4 linked regions of the Alligator mississippiensis genome follow. The protein of the gene in region 3 purifies or fractionates together with the protein of the main gene of each other region. This does not show direct contact. Links are inferred from orthologs where the notes say so. Each region holds a gene or a part of one and is shown on either strand. Other genes may lie near its edges. The genes, in order: MAP2K1, DCAF7, MAP3K1 and AXIN1.

Region 1 (7,923 bases), on a different chromosome or scaffold from region 3:
TAATGCAGTAAATGCTGAGCACATTTTTTTATGCCAGTTTTGCAGTTCAAGAAATCTGGCTAATTTTAAAGTAATTTTTGGTGCTAAGTCAAATAATATATGATAGTTCTTTATATTAAATAATGGCTATGTATTTAAAAAATTTAACCTCTTCCAAAAAAATATTGGCCAAAACTATTTCAGTGGTGGTAGACAACCATCTGTCCTTCTGGATCATGGTATATGCATAAGAGGTCACCCAGACCTTTGACACACATGCCTAGACAGGATTATGGAGGAGCAGGGGCTGCCCAGACTTTCCACCCCACTTTAGGCCATTAAGACAGAATCCAAAGGCCAGACTGAGTTTAGACATGTGGTGCTTTCATGGCAGTAGTTATACGCACATCAGGAATCAAACCCATGTCTTCTGTGTGGCAGACATGGATTCTACCACTGAATTACAAAAGCAGGTATTTTAGTAGTATCTTTTAAATTGAAATCCACAGATGCATCTCAAGCAGGTCCAAGGAAGTGATCCTCCCCTTCTATGTGACACCGGTCAGGCCGCAGTTGGAGTACCGCATCCAGTTCTGGGTGCCGCACTTCAGGAGGGATGTGCACGACATGGGGAGGGTCCAGAGGAGGGCCACCTGCATGATCAGGGGTCAGCTGGGCAGGCCCTATAAGGAGAGGCTATGGGACCTGGACCTGTTCAGCCTCTACAAGAGGAGGCTGAGGGGGCATCTAGTGGCCATTTACAAACTAGTCAGGGGGGACCAACAGGCATTGGGGGAGTCCCTGTTCCCCCGAACACTACCAGGAGTGACTAGAAATAACGGTCACAAGCTGGGAGAGGGTAGATTCAGGCTAGGTATCAGGGGGTGCTACTTCGCTGTCAGGGCGGCTAAGATCTGGAACCACCTTCCAAGGGAAGTGGTGCTGGCTCCTACCCTGGAGGTCTTTAAAAGGAAGCTGGATGAACACCTTGCCAGGGTCGTTTGACCCCAGTACTCTTTCCTGCCATGGCAGGGGGTCGGACTTGATGATCTGCTCAGGTTCTTTCCAACCCGACCAACTATAAAACTATGAAAGTGAAGTAATCAGTAGCTCTTAAGAGAATGTCAGAGAGAAGCTGGGCTGGAAGGGACCTCCAGAGGTTATCTTGTCCAATCCCCTGCCTTAGGCAGGATCATCCCTATCCAAACTATCCTGTATGATCCATAATTAGGGACCTACCACAATAACGATTTTGTGGATTTTGCAAAATCTGGCATTTCCCGTGAAATTGGGCAATGCCCACAAAATCCACAGAAAGAAAAAGAAAAGAAAACTTATTGAAAATAAAATGCTGGCTCCCCACCGAGGGTGAAAGGGGGAAGCTGGACTGCTCGCACGATGGGCAGCCCAAGATGACTGACACCCCGCAGCGCCTCTCATCACCTGCAAGACCTCTCCATCATACGGCCCTGCCCCTCTCCACCAATTGGCAGCGAGGGGTGGGGCTGCATTGCCTTCACAGCCAATCAGTGGCAAGGGGTGGGCCGCAGGCCCCTCAGCCAATCAGAAATTACGCCACCCAGAAAAATGATGGCTGGGCCCTTGTTTTCCTAGCAAAATTGGCCTGTAGCCACCTTGAATTCAATAAGTCCTTATCCAAAAGCTTAAGCCTACATAAGACTACCCTCCTCATCCATGACACAACATAGATCTAGCACCCTAACCTGTCACAGGTAAAGCAGGGGAACCATGGCCGCTGATGTCCTGCTTCTATAAAATGTTGTCGATATACACGCAAGAGGTCTTGGGTCTGACGCACTATCCTCGGCAGTATTAGCATAGCTCAATCTGATACTTTCTACTGTAGTTGCTGTAGTTACTACTTGTTAGTTTTGACTATAAAATACTGATTTTATTGTAGACTACTTTTACCCTTAAAATTAATTAATTTTGAAGGTTTAGATCTAGTACTAGTGTTTTGGATTACAACTAAATCCAGGTCACTAGATTTTAAATCCTATCACATGTAGAATTAATTCCTTCTCAAATGATGAGCACAATAAATACCGGTATTGTTTAGGAGAGGGTCATATCACTTCAAAATCTGCATTTTGTAAATCATTAAAAAAAACCCCACAACAGATTTGGGAATCCCAAGTCAAGTTTTATCTCATGGAAAGTTAAATTTCATGGTAGACTCAGGCCACTGACTGTTGAAACCACACTTTTGCGCTCTGACACCAGACCAGGAGCCTGAAGTCTTAGGCGAGCTTGATTCTTATCTAGACGCTCTAATGAGACCATCTAAGACACCACAGGAACTGTCAATTACTCCTGTGCCCACAGAAGGAAGGAAGGCATCTCTAAGTATGCTTCTAATCATTGGTTTCTGTTTCCAGTACCAAGCAGAAGGAAACTTGGAACAGTGAAGTCTCAAGATGGAACTGAAGCAGAAGAAAGGCTGTACAAAGAAACTGGATATTGGTACTGATAACAATTGAAACCTTAGTACAGTGGTTCTCAAAACCTTTTTTCGACTTGAGCACCCCCCCCCATACTCTTCGTGAATTGAGTGGCACCCTATTTAAAAAAAAAAAAAAAGTATATATTAGAGTACTTATCTCTTTGGAGAGTGGCCAGGCAGTTAGGGTGGGGAGATTAGCCAGGCGGGTCTGAGTCTGAGCCAGTGCTTATCTGTTTATTCCCTTACAGATTCACAGAAGTTTAGGGCTGGAAGGGACCTCATGAGATCATTGGGTCCAGCCACCCTGCTGTGGGCAGGAAAACCACTGGGGTCAAATAACCCCAGCAAGGTGTGCGTGCCGTCTCCTTCTGATGATCTCCAGGGTAGGTGCCTGTACCACCCCTGCTGGGAGTCTTTCAGAATCTGGTCACACAAACCATGAAGTTTTTCCTTGTATCCAGTATGAAACCTTCTTCTAGGAGTTTAAGACCATTGCTCTTGGTTTTCCCCTGGAGTGCTTTGGTGAATAGTTGTTCACCTAGCCCCTGATGTTCTCCCTTGATATATTGGTAAGCTGCCACCAAATCCCCCCAGAGTCTTTTCTAGGCTGAACAGGCCCATATTTGTCAGCCTTTCCTTGTATGGCTTGCTTTTCAGGCCTCTAACTGTATGAGTGGCTCTTCTCTGGACTCTCCCAAGCTTCTCCACATCCTTCCTGAAGTGTGTTGCCCACGCCACACCTCACAACACCCTCACAAAGGACATGGCAGCACCCCAAGATGCCATGGGCCCCTGGTTGAAAATCATTGCTTTAGTAATAAACTCATAAACTATTTGGCAATGACTCATTCATCGCACAGTTTCAGGGTAGATCCCATCAGTATTACTTTGTGTGGTGCCATATGGTTCAGACCCTTTCTGTATTCATTTCTTGTCTCTTGTTCTGCTCTTGGATTGTGACTTGGTGGGGCTGTCTTCTGTTTGTTCTGTGTTTGTACAATGCCATGCCACTTTGAGGTCCTAGTCCATGGTTAGGGGTCCTAGGCTCTAATGTAGGAGTAGGCAACCCCCAACATGCATGCCAGAATGTGGCACACGAAGGCATTTTGCTTGGCATGTTCACCTCGGGGAAGAGGCCGGGGCTCAACTGCCACAACAAGGATCAGGCCCTGCCACTGTTCACCCCTGGCAAGCCAAGACCTTACAAATCGAGGTTGTGGGTGTTTTTGGCACTTTGTCCAAAAACATTGCCACCCCCTGCTCTAGTGCAATACAACCAATAGTGTTGGCCAGTTGAGGCCCACCCTAAGTTCTCTACTAGGGTTTACCGTGTATAGGCAACACATATGAAAACTAAAATGCTCTCATACGCCCTCCTGACTAGATCCTTAGCTGTTACCAACTGGCATCGTTCCACTGACTTCACACCAGCTAACGCAGCAAAGCTAGGGTTTTAACATATGAGTATGTGTTAGCTAACGTGTTAAAATGCACCTTTTCCTAGATAGACATAGTCTCAATGGCACAGAAGGTTAACAGTATTTTAAGAGTAAAATCCTTCTGCCCACTTCACAGTTGCATAGCTCAAATGACAGACAAGATTCTTTGGGTGTATGTGATATCTTTTATTAGATCAACTAAATTGTTGGAAAAAATTGTTCCTTGCAAGCTTTTGTGCCCAAAAGCTTGCAACGAACATTTTTTCCAACGATTTAGTTGGTCTAATAAAAGACATCACCTCAGCCCACAGAACCTTGTCTGCCTACGCCCTTAGAGCCACACAGCTACAACCAACACTTGCTCAAATGACACATGCGTTTTCAACAATGAGGCACACACTAAGAGCATTGTCCTTGTGACGTGTTGTCCAAGAGTCACTGAGACGATGTACAGATGTTGGAAGTGACACTGTCCACTGGAGTTGCAATACATGAGATCCATTAATTATTTCACGAGGGACCAAAAAGCGCGTTTTCTTTTGGAAAAAAAAGACACCCTACAGAACGCAGTGGGGGCACCGGGTCCTAAGAAAAGTCTCTATCAAATGAGTGCATAATAGGTGAACAGAAGGGAAACCCAAACTGTCCTGCAAGCTTCCTGCTGTCTCTTTGCAAACCTCAATATTGCAAAGTCGCTTGTTAAATGTCAAACTATTAGCGCCAAAATAATCCGTCTTTAAAGCCAGAAGGCATTGTCGGTGTCTGGTGCTTTCCGCTCCAGAGCAGCTGGCAAGAAGCTAGCCTCCTCCCTCCTCTCTCTCCGACCTCTGCCCGGGTCCGTGCTGGTTTCCACCCTCATGGCTCTGCGGCTTGCAGTTTGACCGAGCCCAGGAGGAAGGGATGTGGATGAGAGCAGCTGCAAGAGGAGCTCCCATTAGGCAACACCACTAGCCCCACGCCTTCCCCGGGAAGTAAAATTGAGGGTAAAGGACAGGGTAAGGGCAAGGCTTCAGTGCAGCTTCACTTCCTCAGTGCACATGAGCGGGCTCTGCACACTTGCGCACTAGCGCCGCCCGAGAAGTTTGCACATGCACAGTAGCAGAAAAAGGGCACATTTTGATCCAGGGCACTTGCATCGCGGAGCAGCTCAGAGCTTCTCACTCGGGAAGAGGCCTTTGGAGCTGGGAGATCAGGAGCAGCTGAGGAAGGGGCGCACTCCCGTGTAGCCGGAGAGCAATCCGGAGCAGGGAGAGGCGCGCCGGGCTGATTAGCAGCGAAGACCGCCTCCAAGCTAGGGGAGCCTCTAAGTTTGCCTAACTGAAGGGAGTCCTCTTTTTCTGATCGGAAAAAAAAGGTTTCTTAGTAGTTTAAGCCTCGCGTTCTGTTTATTTAAAAATGCCGAAAAAGAAGCCGATGCCAATCCAGCTGAATCCGACCCCGGATGGCTCCACCGTCAATGGGACCAGCTCTGCAGAGTGAGTGCGGCGTCCCCAGGGCTTGGGTGTTACTTCTGCGCTGGGCGAGGCAGGGGCTGGGCGAGCTGAGCTCAAGTGTTTGTTCTGCTAGTGGCCGGGCTGGGTCTTGTGCACTGAGGATGTTGGAGAAAATTGTTGCTGTATCTTCTCTAGGACTTCAGCAATGCAAAGTGAGAGCACTGTTTTGTAGGAAATACTTCATCGTTGTGCGGAAAACAAAATGCACAAGTGAGGGACAGCATGAGCAGAACTTCTCAACTACTGTGTTTTAAAATCCCTGATGCTTTTAGACCTCACGGCAAATAGCATAGTTTGGCATTCAAAGAATCTAAATGATTCCCATAGAGGTTTTGTTTTGCTTGCTGAATACTTCGAAAATGAGTCTTCAGCTGGGGAGGAACTGATTATGTGAAAGTGTGAAGAACTAGGTGGTGCCTCAAGTCTTGTCAGTTTCACAGCGTAAACAAGTCAAAAATGCAAATTCTGTAACTTCCTTCAGTTCGGGTAGCCTTAGGTAGTGTTTGTAATGAGTCAAGGCAGTTTTTTCCTTGACTAAAAACAACAAACTTCTCCCCTTTATATCAGATCCAGATTTCACTTACCTCATCCGTATTGCAGGGTTTTAAAAGAGTATTATTGTAAAAATATTTGACGCTTCCTTGATATACTATTCAAATGAATGTGTATGTATGTATATGTTGCAGAGTTCTTGGCTGTAGCCATGTTGTCTAAGGACATAGGCAGGTAAGCTTTGGATAGATGTGATGTCTTATTAGATCAAGTGCGTAGTTGGAAAAAACTTCTTAGCAAGCTTTCAGGCACAAACACCCTTCCTATGCCTGAAGAAAGGTGCTTGTGTCTGAAAGCTTGCAAAGAACTTTTTTTCCAACTACTTAGCTGGTCTAATAAAAGATATCACATCTACCCAAAAAATCTTGCCTTCCTCTTATATAAATGTAGTATAGAACTAAACCAAGAGTAGCTGTGCATGGTGAAAAGGGACATCTAATTAGCTCGCATTTTGGTTGCACAGATTAAATTGTTACTTGTTATTTTTCAATAATCTGTGAATTTATGGGACAAGACGAAGAAAACGGGATCACTAGAGAAGCTTACAGTTACGCTAGCTGTAGTGTAGAGTATTACCAAAGGAGTTTGCTAGAGGCAACAGGTCTGCATTCATCACTTCATTGTTAGACTGAGGTGATGGATTACAACTACAGGCTGTGGTTTGAAAACTGCTGTGCCATGGAGCCACAAGTTCCTGACCCAGCAGGATGAAATCAGCCTTTTGTTTTCTTAGGTAGGCAAACAATTACAAGAAATACGGCTGTGGCTCTTCTCAGACAGCATCTGAAATGGAAGTCCTATCGGCTGTGTTAGTCATGTAGTGATAGTGCTCAGCCCCTGCAATCAGAGCCTGTTGTTTTTTTTCCATTGAGCTCAGTTTCTGTTTAATCACCTAAATAAGAGACTTCCAAAATGTGTAGCACTCGTTGTGATGCTTGACCCAGTTTTTAAAATATTCAATATCTAGTGTGCTTTTTGAAAATCTGGCTTATTATTTTGGTGCCCAAATAGATTGTTGAGAACTCAGCTTCCTGCTCTGACAGTAAGTGATGATCCCTGTTGAGAGTTATGGTTTAAGTGACACAGCATCTGCTGGGAATTGTGTGGCAAAAATATAATAATACCTTGAAATTATGCCATTTCTTGTTCAGTTACCTTTTAAGGGCTTTGCAAATGTAATTTGGTTTGATGTTTCCATATCTCTGAGAGGTAGACATTATTATTGTCAGTTTGCAGGAGAGAAACCGAGGCATGTGTCAAACGAATGAATTAATTTTGATACCTAAATTTAAAGTGAGCCTTTCCGATGAATGTTCCTCCTGCCAAGAAATGTCATTCACTGGACCGCTGTATGGAAATTTGGGATTACATACCGATTTGTCCCTTCACTCCTGTGGTTGAAAATTTACAAAGAATCATGAAATTAAGGTCACTTAAAAAGAAAAGTGTTATTTTCATAAAGGAGAGGATGTCTTAGCATTTTCAGTTTCCAGTACTAAGGAGCTTTTCTGTGTAGCTCCCTTATTTGGGATCAGATGTTGCTTCCCATATTCGGCCCTGTGGGGGATGAGGGGTGACCGATGTTCTTTTGATGATATGGTTTGTATAACACGCATCTCTCAACCTGTCCTCGTTTATACAGCAAAATTAACGAATCACAAAACCCAGAACTCCCCATCTTCCCCCCCAAGCACTAACCCTCATTAGGATGCGCTGTGGGTTGTTTATTTTGTTATGCCTTAACCTATAAATTCATCCTTAGATTTAATTTTCCCTTTCCAAATTCTACCATGTCCAAGTAAATTAATCCTGCTATACATTATAGAAGTACCTAGGTTTTGGTAAAATGTTTCAAGATTCCGTGGAATGAAAAGTGCCGTGCACGTGTAAAACTAATAACACCTGTAGTAGTTCATTTGCTCAACTTATGCCATTCTAAGTTACTTACTGGCTGGGTGTCCTTTAGTTACTCATAGCCTGGTTTCATATGCACACG
Region 2 (7,806 bases), on a different chromosome or scaffold from region 3:
CTCTGCTACTATCTTCTTGGGGCCCTTTTACTATAGTCATGAACCAGGCTGCCCTGACATGACTACACACGATAAAGAAAGCCAATCCCCAGCTCATGCATTGGTACCTGGCACTGCAGTCCCATTTATTCAACCTCCTCTGTTGCCCTGGAGCAGCACATGCTAGTGCAGACTTAGCAGATGTTAGGGACTGAACATGGAAAAGGGAATCTCAGACTTTACTCTTGTATGTTGAGAAATGTAGCAGAGTAGTCTGGCCCTTTAAGTGGGGCAACCAGCTCTGGGGTAGGAGCCCAAGTGTGAGTGACTAGCGAGGTAGTCGAGCACCTGCAGATCCCTCACCAGGTCATTGCCTGTGGCAAGGACCAAATCCAGCAAGGCATTTTCTCTGGTGGGATTATGTACCTCCTGGGTTAGGTAGAGGTCCTGTATGCAGGCTAAAAACCTACATGAGTATTTAGGCCTGGCTGACTGATCCTCCCAGCAGATGTCTGGGTAGTTTAGGTCACCCGTGACAATGACATCCCTTGTCCTTACAGCCTCCATGAGCTGACCTGAAAACTCCAGGTCCAGCTCATCCCCCTGGTGAGGAGGTCTGTAGTAGATGCCCACTAACAAGTCCCTTTCCCCACATCCCCCTTGCATTCTAACCCAGAGTGCCTCAGTTTGCCCCTCTTCTGAACCCATCCTGATCATCAAGGACATGTACTGCTCTTTAACATAGTGCGGTACACCCCTCCCCCCCTCCTTTTCTCCCTACTCTATCTCATCTATACAACCTATAGCCCTCGATGTCTACTGCCCTGTCATGAGTAGAATCTCACCAGGTTTCTGTAAGCCCAACCAGGTTTGGGTTTTTGCTAGCTAGCAGGAGGGTGTGTTCCTCCTGCTTATTCCCCATACTTCTAGCATTTGTGTAGAGGCAATTGAGACCTCCTATGGATGTTTATGCTGCCCTCTTGTTCCCAAGCTTGCCCGGGCCCTTGTCACTTACCTGGGTTGTTCCTGCTCGTGTCACCTGGCTTGACATCGAAGTGTCCTCCTGCACCTCTGCATCCCCATCCCTCAATGAACCTAGTTTAAAGCTCACCGTACGAGATCAGCCAACCTGGAAGAGAAAACACGCTTACCTTTTGGGGAGAGATGTAGCCCGTCCCGCCCTAGCATGTCTCCTGCATGGAAGTGCAGGGTCATAGTCGAAGAATCCGAAGCCCACCCGGTAACACCAGCTCTGAAGCAACCGGTTGACCTCTCCGATGCAGGCCTTGTGGTGCCATCCGCATCTGCTCACTGGAAGAACAGATGAGAAAACCACCTGTGCTTCCGTCTCCCTAAGCTTGGCTCCCAGAGCCTTGTAGTCTCTCATGACATGGTCCGAACTACTCCTGGCCACATCATTAGTGCCCACATGGATGAGGACCAAGGGGTAGTGATCAGAGGGCTGGATGAGGTCTGGGATCATTGCCGTGACGTTCCAAATCCGAGTTCCAGGCAGGCAGCAAACCTCATGTGCCATGGGATCTACAGGGCAGGGGGTCAGACTTGAAGATCTGTTCAGGTCCCTGCTGACCCTAGAAACTATGGAACTAGCAGTTAAAAGCCCAAGTGGAGAGAGAGCAAGGAGCTCAAACTGGAGAAGGAGCAGTCTGTGGCCAGGAGGCAGACTAAACCCCAGTGGAGATTGCTTCTAGGAAGGGCCAGAGCTAAGATGGCCTCTTTTGCTGCCTGGAGAAAGGCTGAAGATTTGTTTTGCTCATTTGTTTGGATTAAGGGTTACAGTTTGTTTTATGGGCTATTGTTTGGACTGGCTGAGGAGTTCCAAAGGGGACAAAGCCTGCCTGCATGGGAGCAGGCCCACCAACCAATTTACAGCCTGGTACAAATTGGTTGCTCCTGAAAGACAATTTACTCTTCTTTAGAGTCTGGAGGAGCCAGGCAGGATTCCTTGTCAGGCAGGGAGGAATCAGCAGAATGGAAGAGCATCTCACCTTCCCTTCAGGACAGGATGGCAGGAAATCAAAACCTGTCCTGTAGGCCCCTTGCAGTTAATGCCTGTGCCTGAAACAACTACAAATGCTGGACCCTGCAACTCCTGGCTGCAAAGGAGTTCTCCAGCACCTGTTGCTGTTTTGTGTCTGGCTTGGGCCTCATATCCTTATCTCTGGCTACACACATGCTCCAGTGATGCAGCTATTTATACTTCAGGAGAATGTCGGTATCAGCTTTCTGCAGCAGGGACATTCCAGGCAGAGGCATTTCCCCCCACAGGGCTCCAGCCTCAGCCTGGAGATCCAAAAGGCAATGGAGCTTCTGCAGATCCTATATGGCAGTGTCTTTAATCCACGTCAGCATTCTCACCGGATCTGTCCTGCTCATAGCCAACATGCCACACACAGAAGGCTAGTCTGAACTGGCAGAAGTGTGGGAGGATTCAAAAAGGGATTTGAGATTTATATGAATCCTGAGAGCATCCAGGATTGAGTTAGAGAGGATTAAAGAAGTAAGAAGGATAATAAAGCCTCACACTTCAGGGCAGAAGCCAACCACCCATGAGTTGAGGTTACTCCAGAATTATCCACCTCAGAGCTCCCTGCACCTTCCTCTGGAATAGACAGATGTGCTGGAGACACGATGCTGAGTTACATGTACCCTGCACTAATCCAGTCTGGTGATTCCTTGCTCTTTAAAGAGATGAGAGACAGGGGTGCTGCTTTTTAATCACCACTAAGTACATATAGAAAATACTGCTTTGTTGACTCCTTGTCTACCTCTAAGAACTTCCATGAACTTTTGTCTCAGTCAAAGACAAGCGAGCAAAACCCAAATAATAAAGATGTCCTTGCTCAAAGCAGCACTGCAGCAAAGTGAATTGCTTGTGGGAAGGCACTGCTCACAGTCTAGTTGTCCCAGTACCTGCCCCTGTGGATTCCTGCTGTATGTGTGTGTTGTCCCATCCAGTGATATGGTCACCTCCTGCACATGGTACTGCAGAATCCACCAGGGAAAATACCACTGGGGAATTCAGAATGCCTAGTGCAGTCCCCGATGGGGCATGGTCCTGCCCCTGCAACTGTTCTCACCCTGTGTCTCAATATCATCACATGCAAGATGAGCTTAATGATAATGTTCTAGGTTGCAAGCTGTTGGTTGGGTGTCTTAGAGTGACAAGGCATTTGTAAATCATTCAGCACAGGATGTACCCTCTACAAGTGCCGAACAGTTCATTGCTACGGTTATTGTTGTTATAGTAATACCGAAGGACCTCACTCAAGGATCAAAGCCCCGTTTTCTTTAGCACAGGAAAAAAAGTTGAAATGTGGCACTCATAACCTGTGTGATGGAAGCAGGACGTATTTGGTGATATCTTTTCTTGGACTAGGCAAATAGCTGGGAGAGACATTAATTAAGTTCTGGGCACAAAATGTATTGAGGAAACTGACCCAAGTAAAGGCACGTTGGGCCCAAAAGCTGACAAACACCTCTTCCCAATTGCACAGTTGGCCTAATACAGATTGAATTTTATTAGCAATGTTTAGGATTGTGAATCCAAAAAGATGACAAAGCCAGTAGGGAAATACAAATCGCCCGAGCAAGGGACTAACATTAGAGGGATGGGGGTGAGGAGGGGAACACAACTAGGTTGCAGAAAATATGGTGTTAGCCAACTAAGCCTGGGGGTGGGGGAACAGATTGAATTTTTTATTACCAAACCTTGCTTCCCAAGTGTTACCTAGCCCAACACAGTTACTGCAGCACTGTTCCCAATCTCCTATATCTGACAGACTGGACAAAGTGGTGATAGTCAGAGCTGTCCCATCCCTGGTTTACAGATGGGCAATTGAGGCAGGGGGAGGAAAGTAGCTTTCACACGGTCACGCTGGGAGCCAAGCAGACCAGGGTGGAGGGCCCCCGTGCCTCGGCCTGCTCCTGGGAACAGTCCTGACTCGAGTGACGTGCCGCACAGCTGCAGCACAACTGCAAGGGATTTTGGACGCGGAGGTGGAGAATGCTGGCTGGTGGCACTGGTGCCAAGTGTGCAGTGGGCCTTTGGAGACTGGCTCCACGCTCACCAGGCTTTTCTCTGAGCAAGCGCCTCCCCTCCCGCTTCGTCTCCAGGGCTGTGCTGGCCTTGCTAAAAGGCCCCCGTCCCCGCAAGCCAGGCCCTTGGGCTACCCCCGAATGTGGGGCAGGCTTTTTGGGCCTGAGCATCACACAAGCTCCCGTTCCTTCCGCAGTGACCCTCCGCTGCAGCCAGGGACAAAAGTGGTGGCTTTGCCAGGACCCGCTCTGGGAAGCGGCAGCCCGGCCCTTACTGCAGCGCCTCAACGGGGGCGGGGCTTTTTTCCCGCTGAAGGGCCGGAGCCTGCCGTGCGAAGCCCAGGCCGGCGCGGGGAGCGGGATTCGATCCGACACTCCAGCCCGCCTCGAAGCGCCGACTCAGGGCTCCCCGCCGCCCGACAGCTCACCCCGAACGGACACGTCCGCTAGCCAATAGGGTGGCAGCATGCCTGCGCGACCCGCCTCGCGGAGGGGCCTGGCCACTGCGCCCCGCTGCAACCAATGAGATGTTGAGAACGCGCATCCCGCGCGCCTGGGGCGGGCCGAAGAGGAGCGGCAGGGAACTCTCCCAATGCAGCGAGCTCCTGCTCAGAATGGAAGTTAAAACGGCCAATAGGGACACGGCGGGCTTGTGACTGGCAGGCGGCTTGCCCAATGGCCGCCCCCACCTCGGAGTGACGGGCGGCGCAGCCAACCGGTCTCCAACGGGCGGGGCGCCCCGCGTGGTTTCCGCTCCTGTTGTGTGAGCGGCCGAATCTCAAACGGCCTCCGCGGCGCTCGCTGTCTCCGGGGCTGGACACCGGTGCTCGGGGCCCGGAGCCCGCCGCCCGCCCGCGGCTACCGCCGCCGCCTGCCTCGGGCCCGCGTGGCGCCGCGCTCCGGCCGGCCCGCGAGCCCCCGCCTCGCTCCGCGCGCGGCCCGGCCCGGCCCGGTCCCGCTCGCCGCGCCTCGCCATGTCGCTGCACGGGAAGCGGAAGGAGATCTACAAGTACGAGGCGCCCTGGACCGTGTACGCCATGAACTGGAGCGTCCGGCCCGACAAGCGCTTCCGCCTGGCGCTGGGCAGCTTCGTGGAGGAGTACAACAACAAGGTGGGCTGGGCCCGCCCTCCCTCCCCCCTTGGGCCCCCGGGCTGCGCCGCGGAGACGGGGGGTGGAGGGGACCTCGGGAGCCGCCTAGTGCAGGAGCGGCCCCGGCTACATCATCCTGGCCCAGGCTGTGCCAAGTGGGGCCTTAAAAGCCTCCAAGGATGGAGAGAGTCCACAGCTCCTCTGGTAGCCTGTTCAGTGCTTCACTGCCCTCCTAGTGAGAGAGTCTTTCTAATATCCAAACTCAACTTCCCTTGCTGCAGTTTGAGACCAGAAGCTGCTGCTTGTGGCTCCAGAGCAAGGCTGGAGGCTCCTGGGAAAAGGCCTAGGTGTTAAAGGAGCCTCCCGACCTGGGAGGCAGCAGGGCCATGCTGCTTCAAGGGGCTTGGGTGGAAAGGCTCTGGCGTGGCACATGCCCGGCTGTGGGCTTCCTAGCGCACTGCTGCACCACCCGGGCAGCCTTGGCAAGCTGTGGAGCACAACTCTTGTGGCTCCCCCTTGTAGGCTTTTGCGAGATTTCATTCCAGTGGGAAAGCTTCATGCAGGGATAAAAGTTTTCACGTTTGCAGGTCCCTTGTTGACTTTCCAGGTCTCCCTCTGCTCCCTTGGCTTCCTCAGGGAAGTGAGTCCTCACTATCTGTCCCTGGCAGGGTGGGCTGCTTCTCCTGTTTATCCACACTGAATACAAGTCGGAAGTCTCATCTTCCAGGCTCACCCTAGCTAATCACTTCTGCAGGCCCTGGTTCAGTCCACTCTGTGCAGACCCCAGGAGCTCCCCATCCTATGGGAAAAATGTGATGCTAGAGATGAAATAAAGGAATAAATATTATAGAGCAGGGCTGTACAAATTCTGAGCCCCCGAGGGCTGCACCGCTGGGGGCCACAGGCTGCACTGAGCGTGACATGCATCTAGATGCTCTTCACCTCCCCACCACTCCCACTGTACTGCAAGCCCACCACAGGCAGTGTCCCACCCCCACAACCCCGGTACCACTCAAGTATGGGCACATGACTTCACCTCCCTTTCCCTCCTGTGTTCCACAACATGGGTGATTTCCCCAGCTGTTGCTTATGCTCAATCCCACTTTGGTTGGGGTCCTGATCCTCCCACCCTCTTCTTCCCTGCATAGCCCAGGACCTGCTCTCAGCGCTGCTCCACTCGCTGGCAGCTAAAGAGTGGAGGTGGGGAGGGAACTTGGAGACAGATGGACGTCCCTGTTACAGACTATGTTGAATGTGGTGTATAGACTGAATTCTTCAGTCATGGTGTGACTTCACTTAAAATCATTAAGTTATTGTCTGTACAGCATTATATAAAGTACTTTCTAAGTTAATTTATTCACTGATGGTTAATTTACTTCTGACCAGCACAGAGTTTAGTTGACAGTTTGGCTTCATGATGTTCTTTTCCTACAAGTGGGGAGTTTTATGGGGGGAGATCCTCTGGGAGCAGAGTAATTTTTAATTAATAATTTTCAAAATAGCCTATGGTGCTACCATCTTCCATTAGTTCCTGTTTTGCTTAAATATCCCATTTGTTGTGAAAGAACCGTGTAAGCAGGATAAAACAAATACACTGAGTGGTGTCAAATGGACTGAAAGTGAAATTTTCTTTTTTTTTCCTTTCAATTATAGTAGTAGGCGTTACTTGTAATAACCAGTGGTACACTTTCAGGCAGAAGTATTTAGGTTTCACTGTTTACCAGCATATGGTGGGAGGGTAAAAACCAACTTGTGTCTCACTGTTTGACAGAAGCTAGTGAAGCTTAACAGGGCTGCTTAATTGCTCATTGTTGGGCCCAGAGAAGTTAGTTTCTGGCTGTCTGTCACCATAACTAATGTAGTTCCAGTTGGAACATACTTTCATTTAAAACCCTATGCAATCAACTTCCTCCAAAAATTCTTTTCCTGATCTGAAAATTTTGAGCCTCATTTCATTCTAAAGGTGAATTCTTACTCATTTAAAAAGGCTTAAATAAAACCTATTTTGGAAGGGCAAAAAAATGCTTTTCATTTTGAAAACTCTGTGCAGTGGATAATTTGACTCTGAATGTTAAAACTTTACAGGACAAAGGATAAACTGATGCCCTCCTTGAAAGATGAGTATAGCGGTAGCCACTAAAAGCCAACTTTTACCAAGTTTCCAGGCTGTGGCACCTGAGATACCAGTATTTCTGTGATAAGTTGACTGATGCTGACTGTTGGACTCTCTGCTGTACCAACACTGTGTCCTCACCTGATATGTATTCATTGACTAGATGCTGTTGTGTCATACCTTCTTGGCGTCAAACCTGAGAGGTTACAATGGTGATGCATTTCATTAAGAGATCAAGGCATTGATTAAAAAGTCAGGCTATGTATGCTATGAGGTTGCAGTCTATTGTAAATATTGTTACTGTAATTAGAAGACCTAATATAATAAACCCCAGCAGTTATTGGACTAGATTGGATTGCTTAAGAGTACTGGCCACATTTTGTGGTCTGGCTGCTGAGAAGTACCAAAAATAAGTTTGTGGTTTGGGGAACAAAGCTGGTGTTATGCCATCTCTATTCCCTAAGACTGGGATCCTCCAAGGGTTCTTGTAGCCTGTAGTAGTCCCATCTGTCTGCTTTTAGGCTGTTCTGCCTTTCAGATTTGAAGTAGTTTTAAAGCATTCAA
Region 3 (7,433 bases):
ATTAATATTGATCTTGTTCACATGGGGAATGTGGAATCTGTACAGGAGATTAATGACGAGGCTGTATGCGACTGAAATGAAAGCATCTACATCTATGTTGTTCATGCATCAGAGGTTCTTAAAAATGTTCACAAACATTGTTACATTAAGGATTTGATTCTGCAGTGGGAGGTGTGCATCTTACTTCACTGGGAGCAGAATCATGCTTCCAACTTCACAATACCCTAGTGGAGGAGCTAAGTTTTTAGCCTTATTTAAAAGCATATAAATTGTATGTATGGAAAAGGTCTATAGAATTTAATAACAGTGAAACCAGATGGGTTCATAGAAAGCTTCAAACTTGTAATGGTGCATGCTTTCCTTTCTAGGGGTTTTTAAAAATAATCTCATAGAATTCCATAGCAAGGGTATGCTTTTCTATTAAATTCTACCAGACCAGGGGTAGGCAACATTTTTGGCTGGAGTGCTGAAAAAACTACAATATCTACCTTGTAAGGTGCTGGAGTGCCAGCATACCAGAAAAACCAAACCAGGGCCAGGGGTACATGGCAGGACACACTGCATATCAATATAGTTAATAATCATAGATGTTGCCTTGTAAACACCAGGTTTTCTAAAAATTCTAAATCTGGTGACAATAAATAAAACTTCAAATACTACCTTCGTTGTTGTGTATTCTTTTTTAAGCATGTTGTGATGACAGAGGGAAAAAAGAGGAGAGAAGAGAGAGGGAAAGAAAAGAGAAAGAAAAAAGGGGAGAGAAGAGAAAAGCACTAATCACCTGGTGATACTGCGGCAGGGGGCAGTGTAGGCCCACTCCTACCTACCCTACTCCTGTCTTCTCTTTGTTCATCCACCACATCTTGGCCTTAAATGGTAGGTAGAATAGAAAAAGAAAGGAGTTGGCACCTGGTTGTCCTTGGCCTTTACAGTGAGGCGTGGAAGATCACATCCTGGGTCTTCGCACGGCTCCGCCACCTCTATACCACACCCATACCTCTCCAAAGAGATGTTGCCATGGAAGATGTTGGTTCTTTAAGGATACACTTATTTAATTCCTTAAAATAGATGTTCTGTATTCACTGCCATAAACAAGTAAAAATGCTCTCAAGTAAAAGATCTTTTCTTAGTGGCGGCCTTGGCCCTGCTTCTGACAGCTGAGTTTGGTGATGTTAGGTTGGTAGCTGGTTGTCAAATGCAAACATAAATCTGAAGTGTCAGTCATCAGATGGTTTCTCATAGGACTGAGCATGGTTTTCATTTGTGAAAACACTTGTTCGCAGCGATAAGTGGATCCAAAGACAGACACCAAGGCAAAAGCTACTTTTTTCATGCAGGCATTCTTTTCAGGAAGGAAAGACCAACATGCTGTAATCTTGAGTTGCCAGTCCCTTTCATTCTCAAATTCACCTCACAGTGATTTTGAACTTCAGTACCTAAATGTATAAGCTTTGAAAGTCAATCAGTTCCAATTCACATCCTTCAATGTTCATCCACTGAAAGTACTACAGTTCTATATCACTTACCCTAGTACCACCTGGGTTCACAAGAAATGAAAACGTGGGACCTGTTGCAAGTCTTGGAATGGTCTTATGAACTCATCTTCCAGCTGTCTTCTGTAGTTGCATATATCCTTATTCAATTGATGCTACTCAGAAAGGATTTTCGGACGGGGGAAGTAACGGAAGGCATGTGTTTTGATATCTCATCTGAAAACAGATAACTTATCACAGAAAGCTTTCTAGTCTTCAGACAGCTGAAGAATGGTTTTCTATATTCCTTGTAATCTAGTATTCAAATCATTTAAATGTGATGTGATGTCTGTCAAAAACATCAGTTTTGTTAGCCATCTGTTATCAGTAAGGTCTGCATATTGCTGACCACTTTCCTTAAGAAAAAAACTTGATGGATTTGAGACAAGCAACAAATCTCTTGAGCACATTACCTCAACTCAGCCAGCATACATTACTTTGCAGCACTAAATCTCCATATGCAGAATCCATATCATTTAAAAGTTCACAGAATCTCCTGTGTCAAAGAGGAGTGAGCAATCAAAAAGCTCACAATTTTCACAACCATTGTTATGATTTAATTTAAACCAGAAGACGAGATCATAGCACACAGGCTCTCCTGATGAATAATACAATGGAAACACATAAGAGGATGTCCAATCTCAGTTTTCAAAAGTTTAAAAAAATCCAGCTGTTTTACCCATCATAGCAGGTGTGCCATCAGTGGTAACAGAGAAAACAGAGAACACTTTATGCAGGTCAATTTATTGCTGCATGAAAATATCTTTGACAGCATTATGTATATTGTTGGCCATTGGTGTGCTATGCATAGTGCTCAAAGAAAACAATTCTTCCCAAACTTCCCCAGAGATAAAATATTGAACTATTATAGCAAGATGGGGTTAGGGATATCATTTATGTCTGTGCTTTCATCCGGTGCAAGGCTCATCACATCACAAACATGGAGGTCTTGAGCCATTTGTTCCCTAACATTAGTTGCCATTGCATCTATTTGCCTTTGAAGAGTCCTGGATGACAAGTGGCATTTCATCAATATGAGCAATGATGTCTTTCTTATTCACAAAATCCTAAAACAGATCCTCAGCACATTTTAAGAAAGCATCCTTTAAGTATTCTCCATCTGTAAAACACTTGTATATCCAAGAAGCTATACTACAGCTACAACGTAATTTGCCTGGGTGGAAAGAGTATTTCTAGTTACGAAACTAGGAAAGCTGGCTGGCTGTTTTTGGAACGGATCAAAAGCTTTTCAAATGGATTCATGTTCGTCTGCTTCATCAGCTCCAGAAAATTTGGCTTTGTACTTGGCTGGAAAATGGTGCTGGACGCTGGAAGTACAAAATACCATACTCTTACTGCACAGACGACAGTCAACATGATCTCCTGGCTGCACAAACCCACACAATTCTCTGCATGCTGGCTGAAACTTCTGAATACCTAGCTTTTGGTTTTTTACTATCCAAAAAGTTTTTTTACTATTTCAAAAGTTAGAGTTTTACTATCCGGGGTTATGTATCTATATGGCTTCTAACTGTAAATTTTCCTGAAGTTCACGCTAACAAAACAATGTAAATAGGCAAACAGAAAGCAGACAATTAAAAAGAATTGAATTATTTGAAGTGTGTGTAAATCTAGGTAAGTGTTTCCAAGAAGGCAATCAGAGAGCAGGAAAAACGCACAAAAAAAATGAGCAATATGAAGTGTTTAAATCCAGGAATGCAGAGGAATGGCAAAGTAGAGAGATCAAAATAAACTGAATACGAACTGCTTTAATGAAGTAAAAACCTGAAAAGTGTGAACTGGTTTAAGCAAGTGAAAAAAACTGAGTACAAAACGATTTACCAGAGCAAAATAAGCCGATTTATGTGCAGAGAGCGCAAAAGCTGAATATGAACCAGCTCAACAGAGGAAAATAAACCGAAAGGTACAAAGTGGCTTGAGAGAAGTCTGAAATAATTTAACAAGGCAAAAAGAACTGAATACACAATCTTAAACTCGTTTTTGCAAGAACGGACAAACTACTGGGCTAGAAGCCGCCCAGAGCCACGTGCTTACCTCATATAAGCGGGAAGAGACGCACAGCTGGGGGGCGGGGGTCTGTATCCCGCCCCCTGCCCCCACACTGTGCTGGCCCCGCCCCCAGCCCCGCCTCAGGCAACCGGGGGCGGGGACCCACCGGATCTGCGTAGATGGCAACAGCTGCCCGCGCAGCTCTGGGCGGACTGTGGTGGAGGAGGCGGGGCTGCGCTGTCCTAGCCCCTCCCCGTTGCCTCCAACACAGAGCCGATGCGGGCTCTGTTTGCAGCCCGCTCTCTGCCTGCAGCAGCAACCCAGGGCCCGGGCGGGCCGCACACAGCCGCGTGGCCCCACTACAGGGACGGTGCTGGGGGTGGTCAGCCCCACAACATTCTCCTCGCCCCCCCCCCCGCGCGGCGCCCGCGTCCTCCCGGGGAGGCCCCGCCCACCCCGCAGGGGCGCGCCGCGTCGGCCTCTTCCCGGGGGCGGGGCCAGGCCGGGAGGCCCCGCCCCTGCAGCGCAGCCGCTGGCCCCACCCCGCCCCCCGCAGCGGAGCGGAGCGCAGCCCCCGCCCGGCGAAGGCTGGCGCAGCCCCTCCCGGCCCGGCCCGGCCCGGCCCAGCGCCGGGAAGAGGCTGGCGCCGCGGCGGGCTCAGCTGCGCGGGGCCGGCGGCAGCAGCAGCAGCGGCGGCGCGGGGAGAAGCGGAGCGGAGCCTCCCGGCCCCGGGAAGAGACTGGCGCCGCCCGCTGTTGCGGGCTCAGCTGCGCGGGGCAGGCGGCTGCGGCGGCGCTGGGACGGGTGGAGCCCGGCCCCCCCCGCCAGCGGGAAGAGGCTGGCGCCGTGCGCCTTCGCGGGCTCGTTGGCGCGGGGCAGGCGGCGGCGGGGACGGGTGGATCCTCCCCCCCGCGCCCCCCCCAGCGGGAAGCGGTTGGCGCCGCGCGCGCGCCTGAGCCGGCAGCAGGTCAGTGGCGCGCACAGGGGGAGGGGCGGGGCGGGGGTTGCGCGGCCTCGGGCCCCTTCCCCGCCGAAGCACGCGCGCCGCAGCGCGGGGCAGGGGCGGGGCGGGGCCTGGGCCGCACGGGTCCGGCCTCTCCCTGGGCCCGCGTGCCCCGCAAAATGGCGCACGCGTGCCGGGGGCTGCGGATCCGTGCCCTGGGCTCGGTCTGGCGAGGACACGGTTAGTGACTGAACTGCAGCCATGTCACTTCCAGCCTGTGGCGTGACCGCCCTTCGCCCGGCCGGGATATGCTGACAGGCTTCACGTCAGCTTCGTGCCTGCACGTTTTGCAGGATAATGTAGGCTCGAGCCATGGGTATCCTTTACCGACTTTGTAAGACGCTGTTTTTCTTGATCCCGACGCTTTGAAGAGGAGAGGAGTAACCTGGGGACCAGCCTGGCAGGCATCACTTGGACAAAATCGTTGTTGCACCTTCTGGTGTCTCTCGCCTGAAGTAAGGACTTTGGGTACAGGTCCAATTTGTGACCAGCTTCAACAGCGCCTTGCAGGCCACTTTGGATGTGTAGGCACAATTACAAGGGTATTTGTCTTGAACGCTGTTTACTTTAATGAGTTTTCCTCGTCGCTGTAGTTTGAGCAAAATATAAGTACACTTCTTTGAATGTCTCAAATGGGAATGTCTCAAATCCTGTGGCAGTACACATACTTATCTTTGCTGTTTTTAGAAGTGATCTTCATTTATTGGGCAAAGCACTTTAAGTCTCAGCTGGTCTTCCCCACCTGCATTAAAAAAACACAACAGTTCTTTGTTGAAAGCAAGTGAAGATTGGATTTACTGTCACATGAGAGAGAAAGATAGCTGCTTCTGCTTTTTGGAGAACAAGTACAGATTGTGAAGCCTTCGCTGTTGTATTACTTTGTTCGTGGAATCAAGTCAGAGGTCCACTAAAAGACTTTTTTGTATCCGTTGGGGAAGTTAATCACAATTTATGTGAACAAATGAAATAGTGTGCTTCTCTCTCTCTCTCTCTCTCTCTCTCTCTCTCTCTCTTAGTAGGGCAGTGTTTTCTGTCTTGTGTACAACTTCATGCGTTTGAAACAGTGGACATGAAATTACAGTTGCAGTTTATTTTAATTAATTTAAAGTATCTGAGATATTAACACCTAGATTTCTGCATCTGTATCGTTTTATGGACTCAAGTCTTATTCGGGAAGAGCTCCCACTGCCATCAGAGGAGAGCTGTGGCTGAAGAAGGAAGGAGTGTGAAAATTGCCCTCCTCTGCTAGGGAGCTTGATATATTTGGGTCTCCCTTCTTGGTAGGGTCTGTTACGGAAATGCAAGTAACAAATAATCTGTCTTTCACTTTTAATGAAGGATTGACAAATTTTTATTAGGGTTTGTTTCTTTTTGTGTACAAATTTGGTGCACAGCAGGACAATATTTCGTCTCGTTTTAGTTGTTTTTAGAGTGTGTTTTTTTTCTTCTTTTCTCAAGGTCTGTGTTACAGCTTTAGAGCTTACTATACGATTTTTACCATGACCTTTGCATTATCTTTAAGAAAACGTGTACATCCATTAGGAAAGCATAAAAGTGTTCCTAACTGCTTAAAAATGTTCTTCCATAAATCACTATAGTATGTAAGCCAGAAAATTACTAGAGTATTACTGGAAAATTACTGGATTTGTTCAATTACTGGATTAAGAAGATACTGCAAAAGATAATATATTTGTGGCATCTACAGTTATCACACTGTCAAGCTACTTCAGTATCTGATTCTCCCTGCTGGTTCAGAATGGGCCTTTTTTCCAGAAATTAAAACGATACAACTATTTGGGTTGATTTATTGTATTGAAAATGTAGGACCCAGCCATTTCTGATAGTGCCCATATCAAAAATCATAATTTAGTATATTTTGAGGATGTTGCTTGAAAGAAAATACGTTTAATGTTACTCATCTGCTTGTGACATTTCTGCACTGAACAGGAAAATGTTATTTCCTGTCCCTAGATACTTTTATTTCCTTTGTCTCTACAATAAAAGGGGAAAAGTTCTGTAACATTTGATCAGTGCGTTTTTAGGCCAACAAAAACTTCTAATCCTCCACTTTATCAGTCTTGGATACATGTTGTTGCCCAAAAGAGACGTTTTTATTATTTTTAATCACAGGACAGATAATCTATGAAGTGCCTGTTGTGTCTGCCAATCATGCAAGTCAATGTAAATTAGTGGACTGTTACTGGCATAACTATATATTTTTGTAGGTGAAGTTGTGTTTATTAGTAGGTGAAATTGTGTTTAGTAGGTTAAGTTGTTACTCTTGAAAAACGAAGAATAACAAATATAGAGCAATTTATGTATGTATATGAATTAAGTCCTTTTTATTTTGTGCGAATGTCTGGTGGGGGGGTACGTTTATTTTCAGACTGTCTGCTTAATTGAATTTTAAGTGGTGGATTCTTTTAAAAGCAAAGTTTTACTCCTTTTTAAAGAACTAAATTCTAGAAGATCTCACAGGATCACATGTTTTGGCTAGGCATGATTTTTCTGGTGATTTTAGCAGATAGCTTAGTAGAATCAGTAAACCCTCCAGACTGCTCATTTGTAGTTCAGTGCCTGGAAATGTTTTTCATTGTTGTCAGTGATCATAAGCAGCTACTTTACTGAAGGTCAAAATCATATAGGCCATAGATTGTTTTAATTTTACAGTTAGGAACTGGCTTCATGTATTGTCATAAATATAGTTGATTAGAAGTGCTTTTTTTGTTGTTAGTATTTCAGAAAGCAAAGTTGAACTTACTCCAGCCTTACTATCATGACTTGCGTTTCTGGTTTAAACAGATTTGAGGTTTTTAAATCAGTTGCTTGAAGCTTTTCCTTGCACAGTGGCTTAGAAGCATTATGGCACTTTATATAGTAGTACTAGC
Region 4 (7,461 bases), on a different chromosome or scaffold from region 3:
AAACCATGGCTAATTGGCCTTGGATCTGTGGCAACTAGTTCACCTTCCTCACCAGGGACTGGTGGCCTTGGAGCATCTTCAGTAAAGCTTCCCCCAAGATCCAAAGGGAAACTTTTCCCCTGGACATTCATGTTTGTTTACATGCACAGGAACAAGGACAGAACAGCCTAAGTCTCAAATCCCCACTGTTTGTATTTCCAACATGAACGTGTTTATCCTGGTGAAATAAATGAGAACAAAGTTAAGAGATATTGCATATTCTAAGAGATATCCTAAGAGTCTGGAATGGCTATTTCTGCTTCACAGGATTATGTTCCTAGTCTTCCTCTTGGTACAGTATTCCAGTACTCCTGAATTTCTTATTATTGAGTTATCCAAATTTTAAAACCACCATGAACAATCCTCAAACATGGTTGTAGATAATTATGTAAATGGGACACTCAATTCACTTTTTCAGTGTGCATATTTCATTATGAAGTTTAAATTAGAAAAAAATATAGTGTTTAGTCATGCAAAAATAAAACACCAGGTAAATTCATGTCTCCAGAATGGTTTGGAATTTCTTTTGGGGCACATGGGACGATTCTGAATGTATTTCCATTTGGCACTTAAGCCAGGAATATAACTTAATCAAGTGTAGACAGCCTTCAATACAATCAGTTGTACTTACAATATGAACTGCCTCTACAGTCCAGCAGTTTTTGAAATGCGCTGCATCATCTTATCACATTAATCAATAAGCAATTTGAGTGGTACGAATATTTGTGGCACCAGAATAATTATACCAGAGCCTTTAATAAAATTAAAATCCTAATATGCTGTCAATTCTAGATATTTTACATGGTATCTAAATTAAACTTTTGCAACAAATGAGTATATTCTTATAAGAACTACTAATCTTTTCTTATATTACATGGAATGAAAGGTATTTATTGATGGTTCATTTAAATACTATTTGCTGCAGACCTGAGAAAAATTCAAATCATCACCTCAAGTTGTCTTGATGTTTAAATGTATCGTTTTTTTACATTTTCCAAAAACGTAATTTGAGAAAACATGGCATAGAGAAGATGTATGTCAAGACGTACATCAAGGTAACAATTTCAGGTGATGACTTGAAATTTTCTCAGGTCTGCAGCAAATAATATTTAAATGAAACATAAGTAAATACCTTTCATTTCATGTAATATAAGAAAAGATTAGTAGCTTTTTATAGGGAAGGAAGGAAAAGGATGGAGATATAAAAATGTAGATACCTACTTTGTATCAAGACAATACAATTTAAATCTTCAAAAAACACTAGTAATCGCAAAGACCTGAGTGCTATAAAGCTACAGCTGTCTAATAAATCACTTCTTCAAACAAAATCTTAATTGCACATGAAAATATACCAAGGAAACCATTCTGAAACAAGCCCCTCATGCAAAGATCACCTCCACAGATGAATAAGTCTTTCAGACACATTTCCATTTCCTTTGCTCTCAACTGGCCTTAAAAAAGAGAAGACTTCCTCAATGCCCTGAACATCCTAACAGAATAAAGTAGGAAACAACATAACAAACTAATTAATTTTTAATGTCTGAATAACTGCATGTTTCAGCTATACCTATCTGATCATGGGACCAAGCAATGTTTTTACAACTACTGGATTAAAACAAGCATGAACATTCAGTTGCTATTCTGAGGCTTTTCTTAACACCTGTAACCAAGTAGATCATTTCATGCTAGGCCATGTTTGTTGTAAATTTCTCACCCAGCACTAGAGCAACGGAGGTCACGGAATTAATTTGATTTTCACAACAAAGATATTCAACATAATGATATTGTAGCCATTTCATTCAGAGGTGAACATCACACTCCAGCTGACATAAGCCATGTTGCTCATTGTTGCAAAAACAAAACAAAAAAGGCTCTGTTCCTCACACCTGAAGAAGCACTTGGCATTTTACCTCTAGAGGATAAATAACATCAAAGGACTTCTGGAAATTGCCAGTATAGATGGATCAAAATAAATCAAGGAACATCAGATTAAAAAAGAGTACAAGCCAAGGCCCAGGTCCTGGAAACTGTTCTACACAGGTGCTGTGGTCTATCTGTTCCATTTACACCTGGGGGTGGAGGCCTCGGTGCACAAGATTCGCATTTCCACCACAGGACTTCATAGGCAATTATCATTCTCTGACAGCACTCATCCTGAAGTTCTCCCAACCAAGAGGTTTCCATGCACCATTTGGCGCTTAGCCTGCCTGCCTGTTTCCAGGTAGGTAGTTCCAGCAAAGGAACTACACATCGGACGCCGATGGGGGAGGGAGACGATGGTTATGCCCGAATAAACTGCTGTCTCTCCGGCCACTGACACAAGGGGAGCTAGCGGAGGGCGGCCGGGCTCAGGGCTGCGCACACCGCCGCGCCAGGCAAGTTCAGGGGGCGCGACGCAGAGCGGGGCAGAGCAGAGGCCGCGCGGCCCGGCTCCCTCGCCGCACGGGCCGACGCGCCGGCCCTGCAAGACCCCGGCGCCGAGCGGCGCCTCCAGCCCACAGGGCCACTCCCGGCCCCGACGCCGGCTCCCCACAGGCAGGCCGGGTCCCAGGGCCAAGCGCCTGCTCGGCCCGCTCCTTCCCGGCGGCGGCGCCCGAGTCCCCAGGCTCAGGGCGGCCTAGCGCCGGGCGCGGAGCGGCCCGCTGCCGCCAGCCCCGCGCCACAATGGGGCGGCTTGCGCGGCCCGGCCCCGCGGCCTCGGCGCTTGGAGCTGAGGGCCTGCGCTGCGCTCCGCAGCTACCTCCCGCCCGCCGCTCACTCACCCGCTCGGAGCAGCAGCTGCAGCGACGCGGGGCCCGGCCCATGCGGCTCAACAGTGGCTGCAGCCCGGGGCCGCAGGCGGCGACGTCCGCGGGGAAGCAGCACAAAGCGGGCAGCCCGGGACCCCCATGGCCGCAGCCGCTTGCTCTGGCAGCGACACGGAGAGCAGCGAGCCCCGCGCCGCTCAGCTTGCGCCGCTGCCTCCCGGCGCCCGCGAGCGCTCCGCCGCGCCCCCCGCGCCCCCGCCCGGTACTGCGGCCTGCACCGCCGCGGGAAGGGAAGGGAAGGGAAGGTGCGAGGGGTGGGGGTGCGGGCGCGCGGCCCGAGCTGCGCGACCGCAGCTCCCGGGGCCAGCGCTGGCCTGGAAGGAGAAGGGTAGAGCCTGAGGCACCGGGGAGACCCAGCCCCAGGTCCGGAGGGAGCTGACTGACAAACACTGCTACGGAAACGCGGGCAGACGGCTCACTTGCGCAGCTGTGCTCTCTGATAGCGGCACTGAGGCGCTAAGAGGAACAGCTCTGACATTTGCACTGAAAGGGATTCCGTCTTCTTTTTCACACCTTAGCGAGCAAAATGCGGGCTCTAAATGTGCTCTGCCGAGACGAGGTCAGTTTCTGATATCATTTTTAAAAGAACAAAAAGTTCCTACGTTTTGCAGGAGAAACATTTAAAACTTCTCTTTTTTTAAATCTGTCCGTAATGGTTTTCTCCCTGTTCCCGGGTCTTGTAGCTAAGCAAACCCAAGTCACATGACCAACACTTGGCTAACACCTCAGACATAAACTACTTGAAAACTTAAAATGTAATTGCCCTCTTATTTTTCATAACCTAATCAATCTCCACAAAGAAATGTTAGGTCCATCAGCTTCTTCCTTTTTCTGATGCTAGTTGCAGTAGCTGCAAACTCTCTGTTTTAGATATCCTGGCCTTCAACTCTTTTCTGCCCCTTCAATCCTAGGCCTGTACAAAAGGTCTAGAAGTAAGAAGAAGTAGAGGCCATGCTGTCAACGCCCCCTGGGGATTGTAGTTTTCTCCCAACCATGGGCATCTCTGATGTGACTTGTGGTTTGGAGAAGGCACAGACCCATGCCTAGGGCCTGTTTCTGGAGCTACATGATTACACCAAAATGTCAGCTTTCATCAACATAAAAAGTAAACATCTATCATTCCTAGTTTGAAAACCTGACCAGCATAAGTGATACCTCCCCAAGTCTACGAAGAGCCCAGGCCATGAGCACGTGGATGGGTTATGCCACAAGAAGTCACATCCTGTGTTCAAAAAGCTGCAAACATGATGCAGTCCTTAAAGAGATGTGCCCCACCACCCCAAAATAGGCAGGGGCAATTTAATGACACATTTACAACCTGGGCTACTTGTCTCTGTGCAGCTGCCAGTGTGATTTGCTTCAACTATGTTTTCAACTTCTACTTTTCTTTCATACCCTATAACCTGGGGCAACAGCTGTGAGACAGAGTATTGCTCTCATACTGTGTTAGCTCCAAGATCCACCGTTCAGGGGGCTGGTGGGGTGAGGAGGTAGCTTACTACATTAGCAAATATACCACAGGTCCTGGGACAAGTACTTAGGGAGAGAACGGGGACCCATGCTGCTAGCACTGCCTTACTGGATGGGGCAGACATTACTGCCATACAAATGGAGGGTGGGACCAATGGGACCTCCCATTGACCTAGGATCCAGACTGCCTTTCCAACTCTGTCTGTCTGGGAACATGAGGAACCCGGTTGTATTAAAACTCAGTTGTCAGGATCCACAAAAGAAAGCACCTAGTCTTTAGGACAAAATAGGCAATGGTATAGGTCTCTTCAGAAGACAGGGCTGTTTGACACATATTGGGAACATGAGCCTTATGCTCACAGAGCAACAGTTCTCCCCCGCCCCCGTTAATAGAAGGGGCTATTGGGTATGTGTTAACTGAATTTGTGGGACAAAAGACAAAACAGGAACGGGAGTGAAGGTCAAATGTTCAGAGTAAATGCACCAAGGGGGCACACTAAGCAAGATGTGCTGGACAGTGCCCACTGGCCCTCATATGAGTCCAAGGAGCCAGCAGAGTAGATACTGCCCAGTGAAACTCTGCCTAGAGACCTGAATGGACCAGAAACAGGAAGATGTCCCTGCAGTCCCTGGGGGTCACCTCACCCAGAGCCTCCTTCCTGATCAAGTAGATTGCTAACTTGGCTAGGGCCAGGAGGAGGCTGACCAGTAGGTCCTGGGACTTGATGGGACCACAGATGAGGAGGGCATAAATGAAAAGGTGCAGGGAGTAGTGAGGGAGCAGGAGATTCTGGAGGAGGTGGTGAAGGGACTGCAGCCTGGTGCATTCAGGTTAGGCATGTCTCAGGGTCTCCCTCTGCTCACAGAAGGGGGAGGTGTCGGGGGTATGCATGAAGCATGTCAGGTACATGCCTGTGGCAACAGTTCCATGGAGGAGCCACCAGCTGAGATCCCCAGTGGCTCACAGGATCAGGCTGGAATAGAAGCTCGTCCATCAGGGATCCTTGTCCTCACTGAGGGTGTCTCACCACATAGTTTCTGGGCAGGACACAAGGACAGGACGATAAAGGGTGCAGACCACGAGTGTGTAGATGTGGTGGCAATGGGTTGCCCAGCCTTTAGATGTGTCATTCCAGATTGTGGGTCAAAGCCCACAAGTAAAGCTATAAGCCCCACTTGATTGGGGGGGGCACACTAAGGGCACATCGTGGATCTCTTGGGACAACTGAAAAACAAAACAGGGATGGGAGTGAAGGGCAGAAGATCAAAATGAGTGCACCAAGGGGGGACACTGAGCAGAGCACACCAGACAGTGCCTTGGTCCTTGAACAAGTCCAAGGAGCTAGTGGACACTGCCTAGTGAAATTGCCCGGAAACATGAATGGACTAGGGACAAGAAAGCAGCCCCATAGTCCCCAGGGGTCCTCCCAGCCAGAACCTCCTTCCTGGTCAGGAACATTGCCAGCTAAGCTGGGCCTGGAGGAGGTTGACCAGGAGGTCCTGGGACTTGGTGGGACCATGGATGGGGAGTGCATAAATGAAAAGATGCAGGGAATAGTGCAGCCAGGCCCTCAGCAGAGATTCTGAAGGAGGTGTTGGAAGGCCTGCAGCCTGGTGCACTCCAGATAGGCATGTGCCAGGGTCTCCCCCTGCTTCCTTTGCCTGCATTGGGGGTGTCTGTGAAGCATTACAGATGCTTACCTGTGGCAACAGCTCTGTCGAGGTTCCATCAGCTGAGGTCCCTGGTGGCTCATGGGATCAGGGTGCAATACAGACTCATCTGTAGGTGTGGTGGGGAGTTCCTTTTGGCCTGCCCAGCAGTGGTGACATGTAGGGGGTGCACAGGGGTGCATGTGCAGCCCCTGAGAGTGCTGGTGCACCCCCTGACAGCCACTGTTCCCCACTTAGGCGAAGGGCCGGGAGGGTGGGGGGGGCAGGTGAGAGCACTGCTGCCCCACTAAAAGTGTTGGCCGGGGATAGGTGTACCAAGAGGAGCGATCCCTGCGGTCCCTCCGTGGCCAATTGTGCTGACCCAGAAGTGCCAGCACGCTGCTGGCACTTTTGGGTCAGGGCGATTACCACCCCCGGTCACTGACTGGCTGCTGGGAAGGCAAGTGACCACCGTGACTCAGGAGGCACCAGTCACCTATGCTACCTAGGCAGGGATCCCACAATGAGTCCCAGGGGGCTAGGAGATGATTCCCTCATGCAGGACCTAGTCAATGTAGGCATTCAGCAGAAGACATGATAGAGATGCACCTTATAGAGTAACAAAATCAGACGTGCATAATAGGGCTGTGTGAAACAGTGCTGTTCTGCTTCGACTTTCGTTTCGACGTTTTGATGGCACAGTGTTTCATTTCAAGTCTTGTTTCATTTTGAAAGCACTGTTCCATTTTGTCAAAACTGTTTTGCTGTTTCGGTGCTGTTTTGACATTTCGCCCACCCAGTGCTGGGAAGATCAGTGCTGCTGCTGGCCCCAGCCGGCAGCACCAGCCTCCTATCATCCAGCAGACAGATCGGGGGCCTGCACTCCTGGGAGCAGTCCGGCACAGCCCCTGCAGCCCTCCCTCAAGTTTCGTTTAGTTTTGAAAGCACTGTTCCATTTCATAGAAACCATTCTGCTGTTCCGATGCTGTTTCGACGTTTTGCCCACCCAGTGCCGAGACGATCAGTGCTGCTGCTGGCCCCAGGTGGGAGCACCAGCCTCTGTCATCCAGCAGGCAGATCAGGGCTGCCCACACCCCCAGCATGGCTGCGGGGGCTGTGCTGGACTGCTTCCAGGTGTGCAGACCCCCAATCTGCCTCCCGGATCGCAGGAAGCTGGTGCTGCCGCCTGGGGCCAGCGGCAGGCAGGCCTGGGGCAAATCAGCTCGTGCAGGGACCTGACCCCACCCCAGGACCAGGTGGGGGCAGGACCCCACACAATCCGATTTGCACCGGGCTGCGCACCCTCCTCAGGCCAGCTCCAGTACGGGGTCCCAGGGATATCAGGGGGCTGATCAGGGTGGCAGCGGGTCTCTGCATGAACTGATATGCCCTGGGCCCCTACTGGAGCTGGCCAAAGGAGGGTGCGAGGCCCAGGGTAAATCGTGTGGGAACCCTCCCCAACTCTGGCATCAAGGTGGCAGCAGGTCCCCACATG

Evidence for each region.
Region 1: the proteins of MAP3K1 (region 3) and MAP2K1 purify together in Homo sapiens (affinity purification with western blotting; 3 studies listed by BioGRID and IntAct, with this or other methods). This does not show direct contact. The link is inferred for Alligator mississippiensis from reciprocal best matches to the Homo sapiens genes MAP3K1 and MAP2K1.
Region 2: the proteins of MAP3K1 (region 3) and DCAF7 purify together in Homo sapiens (affinity purification with mass spectrometry; 3 studies listed by BioGRID and IntAct, with this or other methods). This does not show direct contact. The link is inferred for Alligator mississippiensis from reciprocal best matches to the Homo sapiens genes MAP3K1 and DCAF7.
Region 4: the proteins of MAP3K1 (region 3) and AXIN1 purify together in Homo sapiens (affinity purification with western blotting; 5 studies listed by BioGRID and IntAct, with this or other methods). This does not show direct contact. The link is inferred for Alligator mississippiensis from reciprocal best matches to the Homo sapiens genes MAP3K1 and AXIN1.

What each region holds. Positions count from the first base shown.
Region 1 is NC_081834.1:4,967,517-4,975,439, reverse strand, and holds the start of MAP2K1 (dual specificity mitogen-activated protein kinase kinase 1), read left to right. Parts: upstream 1-4,917; 5' UTR 4,918-5,277; coding exon 5,278-5,357; intron 5,358-7,923. UniProt on the Homo sapiens protein: Dual specificity protein kinase which acts as an essential component of the MAP kinase signal transduction pathway.
Region 2 is NC_081827.1:158,477,946-158,485,751, forward strand, and holds the start of DCAF7 (DDB1- and CUL4-associated factor 7), read left to right. Parts: upstream 1-4,803; 5' UTR 4,804-5,012; coding exon 5,013-5,150; intron 5,151-7,806. UniProt on the Homo sapiens protein: Involved in craniofacial development. Acts upstream of the EDN1 pathway and is required for formation of the upper jaw equivalent, the palatoquadrate. The activity required for EDN1 pathway function differs between the first and second arches.
Region 3 is NC_081826.1:267,441,051-267,448,483, reverse strand, and holds the start of MAP3K1 (mitogen-activated protein kinase kinase kinase 1), read left to right. Parts: upstream 1-4,417; 5' UTR 4,418-4,509; intron 4,510-4,731; exon of another isoform or gene 4,732-5,087; intron 5,088-5,125; exon of another isoform or gene 5,126-5,447; intron 5,448-7,433. UniProt on the Homo sapiens protein: Component of a protein kinase signal transduction cascade. Activates the ERK and JNK kinase pathways by phosphorylation of MAP2K1 and MAP2K4. May phosphorylate the MAPK8/JNK1 kinase.
Region 4 is NC_081836.1:22,317,145-22,324,605, reverse strand, and holds the start of AXIN1 (axin-1), read right to left. Parts: upstream 3,016-7,461; 5' UTR 2,802-3,015; intron 218-2,801; 5' UTR 132-217; coding exon 1-131. UniProt on the Homo sapiens protein: Component of the beta-catenin destruction complex required for regulating CTNNB1 levels through phosphorylation and ubiquitination, and modulating Wnt-signaling.